2 linked regions of the Callithrix jacchus genome follow. The protein of the gene in region 1 interacts with the protein of each later gene in a pairwise test. Links are inferred from orthologs where the notes say so. Each region holds a gene or a part of one and is shown on either strand. Other genes may lie near its edges.

Region 1 (4,498 bases):
TGGGGCAATGAAACTGGGACCAAGTGGGTAACTGATATTTGACAGGGGAATGTAAATAGCCTACGAAAGGGTCCTGAGGTGGGTATAAAGTCAAACAGACCAAGCACGCAGGTAACACTGAAACAGGAACGAGTAAGAGCTTCTGTTCAGGCTGGAGGTGCTCATATGGCGGGACAGGAAAGAGAACAAGAGAGAGGGGCAACATGGCAGACATACCATGGTTCCTACAGAGGTTAGGGGCTGCTGTGGCCTGGGAGATGCACAGGGCAGAGAGCTGACTCCCAGGCCAGGAAGGAGTTTAGCTGTGACCCATCCTTGGGGACCAGGGCTGTCCCCCAGCCTCAGCTGACACACATACAAAGGAGCTTTTCAGGACACAGGAAGATGAAGGGTTAACCCTAACAAGGGAAAAACCTCCTGGAGGACACAAAATACTGCCTTTAAGCTGGTATTAACCCAGCTTAACTAACTCAACAGACTGGGCTCTTCCAGGAGTGTGGGGGCACCAGGATATGGAAAATGATGGGATGAAACAGGGGAATCGGGGCTGGGGCAGACAGGCAGGATACCCACACCATCTTTCCCAAGGACAGCACCTGAGGCCTCCAGCAGGCCCTCAGCCAAGCAGGCCCGTAGGGCAGCTGGCTCCAGGCCTTGAAAGGCAAGGGAGGTAACAGGACCGATGCAGGCCCCTCACTGGTCCTGCAGCCTGCTGCAGAGCTCCCGCCGGCTCCGCTCCCCAGCCCAGCTGCGGGTCTTCAGGCGGAAGGTCTTTAGCTCATCCTTGAAGGCCTGGTGGTTCATGGGCCGGTAGTCCTGCGGTTCACAGAAGTTCTAGGGCAGGATAAGAGGGGTCAATGCAGTGGAATGGGTAACCTTGGCAGGGACCCAACCCTCCCACCCCGCTTCCCAGGGCTCGGGAATGGCCAAGCCAACCCTCACACAGAGCTGGTGGCATTGCCACCCACGCTACCGGGTGCTGAGGGAAGAACTCCTTGTAGCCGCCTTTCAGGATATACATCTCGGGATAGTAGAGGCTGGGGTAGTCATTGACAGAACGGTCTCGCTCCCTGATGAAACGGCACCTGAGATGGCACGGGCAGGGTGTGGTCAGAGCGGGGCATGCAGTGGCTTGTACATCATGGGACCTATTCCCCACATCCACTCCTCTGAGGGCCCTGGGAAGCCACAGAAGGCTTTTGAGTACAGGAATGTAACCACAAGAACACTTTCAGATCAGTCTGGCTATACAGAAGAGGGTGGGGGAGGTGGAAGGAAGAAGGTAAAATCAAGGGAATGGGCTCTCCATTTCTAGAAGACAGTTGCACCATCTTTGTTAGCGATATCTGTGCCTGGACCAGGAAAGGAAAAGCAGGAGAGGAGACAAGTGGGCCAAATTCAAGCGATCCATTCAGGTCACTCGTGGATAAGACCCAGTGAGGACCAGTGGTGGGGAGAAGGGAGGAGGAGGGCCCAAGACTGAAGCCAGTGCCCAGGCCCAGTGCCTGGGTAGAGGTGGGTGCCATGTGCTGGGATGCCTGGAGAAAATGGGAGGGCAGCAGGGATGAGGTCTCTGTAAGGGGCATCTGGGTGCAGATTCCCAGCACATGGGTGAGGCCAGGCTGGAGAGCCACTAGCAGTCAGATGGACCAGTGGCAACCCAGGAAGAGGTAAGGGTGGGAGGACGGATGGCCAGGCAGAGCAGGAACAGAGATGGAAGGAGCTCAGCCAGGGTTGGGGAGGCCCAGGTGCTGTGGATGCCAGCAGAGCAGGTTCCAATGGAGACCTAACAGCACCGAACACTGGAAGGGTCAGGGTCACTGGAGACTGACACAGGGCCCTTGGATTTTGAGAAAGGCACTGCTAGAGACTTGGAACCAGATTTTCTGGTGGGTGGCGGCAAGGATGGGGTTGCAGACATGAGGCCTGATAGGCAGGACTGTGAGGGGGAAGGGAGGTGGGTACCATGCACAGTGAAGAGGGGCTGAGGTCAGCTCCAGGCCATCAGGTGGGACAGTCCAGCAAATCTGGTTCCAAGTCTCTAGCAGTGCCTTTCTCAAAATCTAAGGGCCCTGTGTCAGTCTCCAGTGACCCTGACCCTTCCAGTGTTCAGTGCTGTTAGGTCTCCATTGGAACCTGCTCTGCTGGCATCCACAGCACCTGGCCATCACAATGGTGCCAGCACATGTAAGCCTGGGCAGGGAAGGCTGGGGCAAACACTGGCTGGCTGGGTGGAGCTGGGACTCACATTCGGGGCCCACGCTCAGATGAGAATTCACAGTGGAAAATGAGGATGACTCTCTTGTCCAGGCTACAGGGTGTGATGGGGCTCTGCAACAGAAAGCTCTCGGCGTCTCGTTCCAGAGGCAAGTTCACCGCAGTCTGCCAGGAAGCCAGAGGTCAGGCACAGCCCGGGGCCCCTCCCAGGAGGCAGGCTCCTCCCCCTGCAGTCCCTGTCCTCCTCTTACTGGTCAGGAACTCCCCATGAGAGGGCGTACCCGTCCTCCATTCACTCTCTTAGCAAAGCAAGGACCTAAACCAGGTGGGATCTTCAAGGCCTCTCCCCACCTTACCTTGATGTGCCCACCTTCATACTCATAGGGGTATCTGCAGTCCACAATCACAAACTTCTCCACGATGTTGCTGAACTTGCCCATCAACAGGGCCACCATCTATAGGAGGTCATGGGAGTCGGTCAGGATGGCAGCTGGCAGATGGCCCTAGCCTGTCCTCTGGCCTAGTCTATGCAGCCCGTCCCCAGGGAAGGTCAACAACGGAGCTGCAGTCCTAAATGCGCCCAGAAAATAGTGCAATGCTGTTTACCGTTTCTGGTGAAATGTACTTGAGGTCTTGGTGCTTTCCATCGACAGTCTGTAGGAGGAAGGCCTGAAGGGAAGGGAAGGGATGGAGAAAGTTAAATTGGTAAGACCAGGAGCCTGAAAAGGATGAAGTTTCATTTTCAAGCCCAGAGGCCACACCTGCTTTGGCCTTCAAATTCAGCTCTGGTTCCCATAGCAACTGAGAAGCACCTCTTGGGTCTGACACCTAGGGAACAACCTTCCAAGGGGAAAGGAAAACGAAAAAGGGAAGCGGAAGAGATGGACCCCACACTCTGCTCCCTACCCTCTGCCAAGCCCACAGGTGAGGCATGAGGGGGTTCCAAGCTAGGTATGAGCTTGGAAATAAGATGGAGATACAACAGATGGCTGGAGTAACTTGAGGTAGAGTCAGGGGACCAAGGAGGGCCAGAGGGAGGAGTCTGTGTAAGAACAAAGGATAAAAAGATATAAAGGACAACCCACGTGGTGGCTCACGCCTGTAATCCCAGCACTTTGGGAGGCGAAGGTGGGTGGATCACCTGAGGTCTGGATTTCAAGACCAGCCTGGCCAACATGGCGAAAACCTGTCTCTGCTAAAAATACAAAAATTAGCTGGGCATGGTGGCACATGCCTGTAATCCCAACTACTTGGGAGGCTGAGGAAGGAGAATTGCTTGAACCCAGGAGTTAGAGGTTGCAGTGAGCTGAGATCATGCCACTGCACTCCAGCCTGCAGGATGGGAGCAAGACTCCATCTCAAAAAAAAAAAGATACAAAGGACAAAGAAAATGGGGGCTCTGGGAGAGAGGGAGGAACCCAAGCAGCCCCTGGGCTAGAGGGTTCCTAGTCAGTAACAGGTCCAGCCCCCCAGACTCCTTCGATGCCACAGGTACCTTAGAGTAATCTCCAATCAGCTCTCGGTGGTCACTGTCCAGGAGGTTCTCGATCTCATCATGACACAGTGATTTTGAGCGGAGGACTCGGGCTTTCTGGAAAGTGAGTCAGATGGAGGCCAGGGTCAGGGGTGGGGCTGCCCTCAGTGCCCTGTCTGGCTGGTACCCCATTTCCCTGCCATGCCCAGGCTGCCACCTGCCCTCTGCCACAAACTTAGTCAAGGAGTTGGCCGCCCAGGTATATACCTAAGTGGGCCCAGGAGGAAGGCACTCACAGGTTCCTCAGGCTCCTGCTGCTCCTCCGGAGGGGTCACACTCCGCCTCCGCTTATTCTGCACTGGCGTGTCCCTGTCCTGGGGCCGCTCCAGCCTCTTGAGGATGGGCCGGATCACGCTGCAGGGCATGGATGGAGAGCGGAAGAGCCGCTGGCACTTGCTGTACATGATGAGGTCCTGGCAGGGACAGCAGATCAGGGATCAGAGTGCCCAGGCCCCATCCCATCCCTCAAATCCACCAGAGGGTAGGATGGACCCCATGCCTCCAAATTCGGAGGAGGCCATCCCAGAGGCCCACCTGCTCCTCTTCCTTTTCCAAGGTCTTGACCAGTGGGGCGCTAATGAGGCTCTCCATGCCCGGGGGGACTGCATCATCGTCCTGAGGCCAGATTAGCAAGGACAGGGTCACACCCACACGCACAAGCCAAACCCCTCTAGTCCCTGAATCCTTCAGCACCGCTTTCCGTTTCCCTGGCAAGCCCCAGACTCAGGTGAGAAGCTCCCCCTACTG
Region 2 (5,296 bases), on another chromosome or scaffold:
AGATGAGGTTTCAGCATGTTAGCCAGGCTGGTCTTGAACTCCTGTCCTCAGGCAACCCACCCACCTCAGCCTCCCAAAGTGCTGGGATTACAGGCATGAGCCACTGCGCCCTGTCTAAATCTGCAGTTTAAATGAAGGGTGTGAACAAAGTGACCACAACTGGCTTCACTACATTCCTGGCACCATACAACAAGGTCTACAGGCCTTGAAGTGAAGCCCTAAAATAAAAGAGGCACTAAATGGAATCATTCTCCCAAATATATGCAGACTATGGTTAAAACAGATGCAGAAATGTTTTACCTCATTTCAGGGATAGAGATGTATACTAGGTACTAAGGCTGTTGTTGGATATCCTAACATTGTGGTTGATATTGGGGTAACAGTTGCATCCTTTCCTCACCATTCCCCTTGGTGCTACTTTAGAAAGAGAACCCTGTGATAGAAGCATCATAGGTCTGGGCCAAGAACAGTTCTGTTGTTCTTGGATGTGGGGAGAACGGGGCTGGGTGGAACTTGGGCAAGCCTCCATACCATCTCAGCAAAGATGCAGCCCAGGCTCCAGATGTCCACAGCTGTGGAGTAGTATTTGCAGCCCAGGAGGATTTCAGGAGCTCGGTACCACAGGGTGACCACCTGAGGGACAAGAATAGGGAGGGTGGGGTGGTTTATAGGGTACAGAGAGTCCCAAATCTCAGTTCCTCAGCATTACTCTGCTAACTCTTGGCCTCTTAACAAGCAGTTTCCTTCCCTCCATCTTTGCCCTCCCACTGATTTTCAGTCCATAGTTCTGGAGACCATGTTTTCTGAAACCCCAATTTGAGATCTTTCTGGAAAAACTTGAGACAAATGGTCATCATAATTTTATTTGATTTTTTATTTCTGTAGAGAGTGGTCTTGCTATGTTGCCCATGATGGTCTCGAACTCCTGGGCTCAAGTGATTATCCCACCTCAGCCTCCCAAAGTGTTGGTATTACAGGCGTGAGCCCAGTTAGCAACACAGTATGAATTCCATGCATACCCTAGGACTCTTTAGGATGTCAAGAGATTACTTCTACCTAGTAAGAAACTGTTGGCCAGATATTTTTAGTAACTTTGTGAATGCCCTAGTTAACACCTCTTGGGAAACTCAGAGAAGAAAGGCAAAAAGGGACTCACCTCATGGGTATAAGTACGAACAGGGACTCCAAAAGCTCTGGCTAGTCCAAAGTCTGCTAGCTTGATGGACCCTTCTGTGTTTATAAGCAGATTCTGAGGCTTAAGGTCTCGGTGTAGGACCCGATGAGAATGGCAGAAAGCTAGGCCCTGGAGCAGCTGGAATAGATAGCTCTGACAAAGGAGAAAGAGAGGACTGTGTTTCTTCACCACAATGAGCAGATTGGGTTTGCTCTGCGCCCCCATGGTTCTACTAAGGCCTTTACTGCGTTGGATTATAATTACATATTTACAAGGTATTTCTCCCATTAAACTGTCAGCCCAGAGAGGATAAGGAGCAAGTCTTACTCAACTTTGCATTCCTTTTCTATATGCTGCGCATTGAATAAATGTTTGTTAATAGATTCAAAGTAGCTCTGGGAGTGAAGAATCCAGCCCTAAAATAGATAATAGACTCATTGGCTAGTTCTTCCACCAAACAGAAGGGCTTTTTGGAGGAATTTACCAGGTGCTCTCAAATCCCATTTATCTGAGTTTCATCTGACCTCCCACCTGAGTTGCTAGGTTGACTCACTAGAGTTTCAACTTTGATTCTTCAGTCCAACCCTGGAGTTAATGAGTATAATGAGCAGGGAAGAAGACACAAAAAGAAGGGGAGTGTGTGTGTGTAGTAGATGAGGGCTCAGAAGAAGGCCAAGATCATAAAATATCACCCAGAATTGCCTGCCATCAGTCCCCCAAGACACGTCCATGATAGGGGGGAGCTGATGAGAAGCATTACCTTGATGAGGGGAAGAGGAATGCCAGTGAGAGCAGAGGCATCCATGAATTTCTTGAGATCTTGGTGCAGAAATTCAAAAACCAGGTAGAGTTTATTTTCTGTGTGAATGACATCCAGCAGCCTAGAGAAGGAAAGGTCAAGGAAATGGAGGTGCGAGAGAGAGAAATGGCCACACTGTACAGACAGAACTCATCCTTCTTTCCAACTGGATCTACTCTCAGACACATACTTACTTGACAATATTAGGATGGTTAAGCTCCTTAAGCAGAGAGATCTCTCGGATGGCAGTACTGGGCACACCCTCAGTCTCACTTGGAGAGGTTGGGAAAACAGAGATGGGAATATGGTTACAAACACTCCTTTTTCCCCCTCCCAGTCATTTCTTTCCCCCAAGGAGGCACCACCCAGCACCCCCTAGGAAAGTGAGAGAAGAGAAAGGGTGCTGGAAGGAGCTAATTCCTGGGTAGTCAGGGTGTGGCTTTTGGACATATTAAGGTCATTATCTCCTCTTTTCCCAGGGGTAGGTAAGTAAAGCTGCCTGGTGAAGGTAAAGCAGGGAGACTGTAACGGGTGAGAAAATAAAAAATAAATTTAAAAATGCAGGAGTAGCACCCAACCTCCCCAGAGGGGCCAGTGAGGTTCAACTGCCATTCTTTGGAAAGAGGAGAGAATTCTTAGGTGAGGGTGGGGCAGTGAGGAGGGCTCTTCATTCAGAAAGGCGCTACTCGTCTGTTCCCACATAACTCAACTCCATGGAGAGTCTTGGACTTCATCTCAGAGGCCTCCTTTCTCTCCCCGAGTCTCTGTGGTCGCACAATTTGGGGACGCCATCGGGCTCAGTTTGAGAAGAAAGTTTTCCATAGATTCTACACCACCCTGTACTCTCCACCTTCTACAGGCCCCCAACCCACCCCTCTACTTCTAAAGAAGTCCCTCCCTGCTCTCTTCCGGTCGCTGGACCGCTACCCGCCCGTGGGGGGTTGGGGGGCACAGTTAAGGAGGTCCCCTTAGGAGTCCCGGGTACAGAGGCCACTCACGTGTCCAGGCGGATTTTCTTAAGCGCCACAACTTCTCCCGTCAACTTGTTTCTGGCTTTGTACACAACTCCGTACGTGCCCTCTCCGATCTTTTCCACCTTTTGGAAGTTCTCCATGAAGCGCCAGCGAGTTGGGTCTGCCCGGCCCTGGAGCGGGGGCCTGGGAACCCTGCAGAAGGCGGTCCCTAGCTCTCGGAGGCCGAGGAGGGGGAAACAGGGCCCAGTACCGTGGCCCGGCGTCGGGATGGAACGCTGTATACCTCTCGCTCTTGTCAATTTGGCCAACTTGAAACAATGTTGCCGCCTCCCCCAGAGTTCCCGACCGCCACCAGAGGCCCCGCCCCACCTTCCCGCGTTTCCCTGGCTCCGCCCCCAGACCTTCTTATTGGTCAACGTCAGAGCGGGGGGGGCAGCCCAGAGCTCCTCCCCGCAAATGACCCCGCCCCAGGCAAGTTTGGTTCTTGGGGGCTAGACAAGTTTCTTTCCCGGTGGGGCGGCTGAACACTCTTTCCAAGTACCTGCTTAGGGTCCGAGTTTCTATGTTTCTAGTCTGTAGGGATTTCTTGATTTCTAACTCACTATTTCCACCACTCCCGGGGAAAATATGTATCGACTTAAGGTTAAATTCCACCTGGCCCAGGAGCCTCCTTTGAAAAGCAGGAAGTCAGGGATCTCGTTGTAAAGGATTCCTTGGCCTCGGAAGAGTCGTTGCCTCCGCCTCATAGCCTACCCCAACGCTGTCTCTGTTTTGGGGTGCAGGGTTCTTTTTGTTTCCTTTTTATTGAGACGGAGTTTCCCTCTTGTTGCCCAGGCTGTAGTGCAATGGCGCGATCTCGGCTCACCGCAACCTCCGCCTCCCGAGTTCTAGCAATTCTCCTGCCTCAGCCTCCCGAGTGGCTAGGGTTACAGGCATGTGCCACCATGCCCGGCTAATTTTGTATTTTTAGTAGAGATGGGGTTTCTCCATGTTGGCCAGGCTGGTCTTGAACTCCTGACCTCATGATCCACCCGCGTCAGCCTCCCAAAGTGCTGGGATTACTTACAGGTGCGAACCACCGCGCCCGCCCTTGTTTCTGTCTATTTGAGAAATTCCTGGTTTAATTCACTCTCCCATGATGAACTGTTGTGTCTGGTATGTGTTATGCAGCTGCCTTTCAGTCAGCTCTTGCCCGAGAGTGTATCAAGATGAGAATGACCCTGTGAAACCAGAAACTGTCATTGAGTAGCAGGATGGGAAAGCAATGTCTAGGGCCCAGGTTCCCTTTGTCAGTTTGTTTTTTCTTTTTCCTCTCCTCCGGCCCCTCCCAGGCATTCTCTGAAGGAGAAGAGGAAGGGCTATGCAAATGAGCACCCTTTTCTTATATAGGGGCCTATCCCAGCCCCTCAGTGTCTTTGGTTGCTGGAGGGAAGAACACAATGCGTCTGGTGATGAAAAGGTGCTTTCTCCATTTGGCTGTGATAGGTGCTTTACTGGCTGTGGGGGCTACAAAAGGTATGTGCGGATATGTGGACATGAGCAAGTGTGAACTTGGGGATGAATTCCCCTGCTCTGGTTTCTCTCCTCCTAATGGGAGATACTGGCAATATTTCAGGCTTCTCCCTCCTATTTGGTTTGTGAGGTTGTGGGCACCTGGGCTCCCTCCCTACATGGAGATTTGGGATTGAGCCTGAAAATAATTTCATATGCTTGGAGGGGCGAAGGATAGAAGGTCTGTGGCACTGATTCTGAGGCTTCCTTGGCAGTGAGCTGGAGCAGGGGCTCCAAAGGGATGAAATGTCTCTTGGGGTGGGGGATTTAAAGTGGGGAGTCAGAAAATGTGGTATTGGGTAAGAAGACTAAGGAGATACATCTCTTGGGATGGGTACGGGTGAACACAGCCCAGAAATTTTGTTCTGGGACTGAGAGAGAGATAGGCAAAGGGGTCTCAGCTGAGCATCACATGAAAAGGCTCTGGGGGATTGGGCCTCGTGACAGGAGCGGGGGAGGGGGGGTGGAGGGGGGTGGTTGGTGAGAGGGTCTGGAATGTCTCGTGCTGCTCTGAGGAGGGAGAGTTGGAAGTGGAGAAAGAATAGGGTATCTTATGACTTCTCCTGCTTTAGTGGTAGGATGCTCAATGAGATGATCCAGATTCTCCCCCAGCAGAGTCAACTAGGGTTACAGCACACATTAGAAAGGGATGAGTCCTGGTGCAGTGGCTCACACCTGTAATCCCAGCATTTTGGGAGGCTGAGGCGGGTGGATCACTTGAGGTCAGGAGTTCAAGACCAGACTGGCCAATATGGTGAAACCCCATCTCTACTAAAAATACAAAAATTAGCTAGCATG

Evidence for each region.
Region 2: the proteins of CDC25B (region 1) and CDK2 interact in a two-hybrid assay, tested with the Homo sapiens proteins (2 studies listed by BioGRID and IntAct). The link is inferred for Callithrix jacchus from reciprocal best matches to the Homo sapiens genes CDC25B and CDK2.

What each region holds. Positions count from the first base shown.
Region 1 is NC_133506.1:11,330,284-11,334,781, reverse strand, and holds part of CDC25B (M-phase inducer phosphatase 2), read right to left. Parts: intron 4,367-4,498; coding exon 4,286-4,366; intron 4,165-4,285; coding exon 3,988-4,164; intron 3,809-3,987; coding exon 3,713-3,808; intron 2,887-3,712; coding exon 2,824-2,886; intron 2,673-2,823; coding exon 2,574-2,672; intron 2,383-2,573; coding exon 2,249-2,382; intron 1,086-2,248; coding exon 974-1,085; intron 835-973; coding exon 694-834; 3' UTR 1-693. UniProt on the Homo sapiens protein: Tyrosine protein phosphatase which functions as a dosage-dependent inducer of mitotic progression. Directly dephosphorylates CDK1 and stimulates its kinase activity.
Region 2 is NC_133510.1:63,708,045-63,713,340, forward strand, and holds the start of CDK2 (cyclin-dependent kinase 2), read right to left. Parts: upstream 3,323-5,296; 5' UTR 3,088-3,322; coding exon 2,972-3,087; intron 2,246-2,971; coding exon 2,168-2,245; intron 2,056-2,167; coding exon 1,935-2,055; intron 1,328-1,934; coding exon 1,157-1,327; intron 634-1,156; coding exon 532-633; intron 1-531. Other genes in the region: melanocyte protein PMEL, read left to right, coding at 4,387-4,462. UniProt on the Homo sapiens protein: Serine/threonine-protein kinase involved in the control of the cell cycle; essential for meiosis, but dispensable for mitosis. Phosphorylates CABLES1, CTNNB1, CDK2AP2, ERCC6, NBN, USP37, p53/TP53, NPM1, CDK7, RB1, BRCA2, MYC, NPAT, EZH2.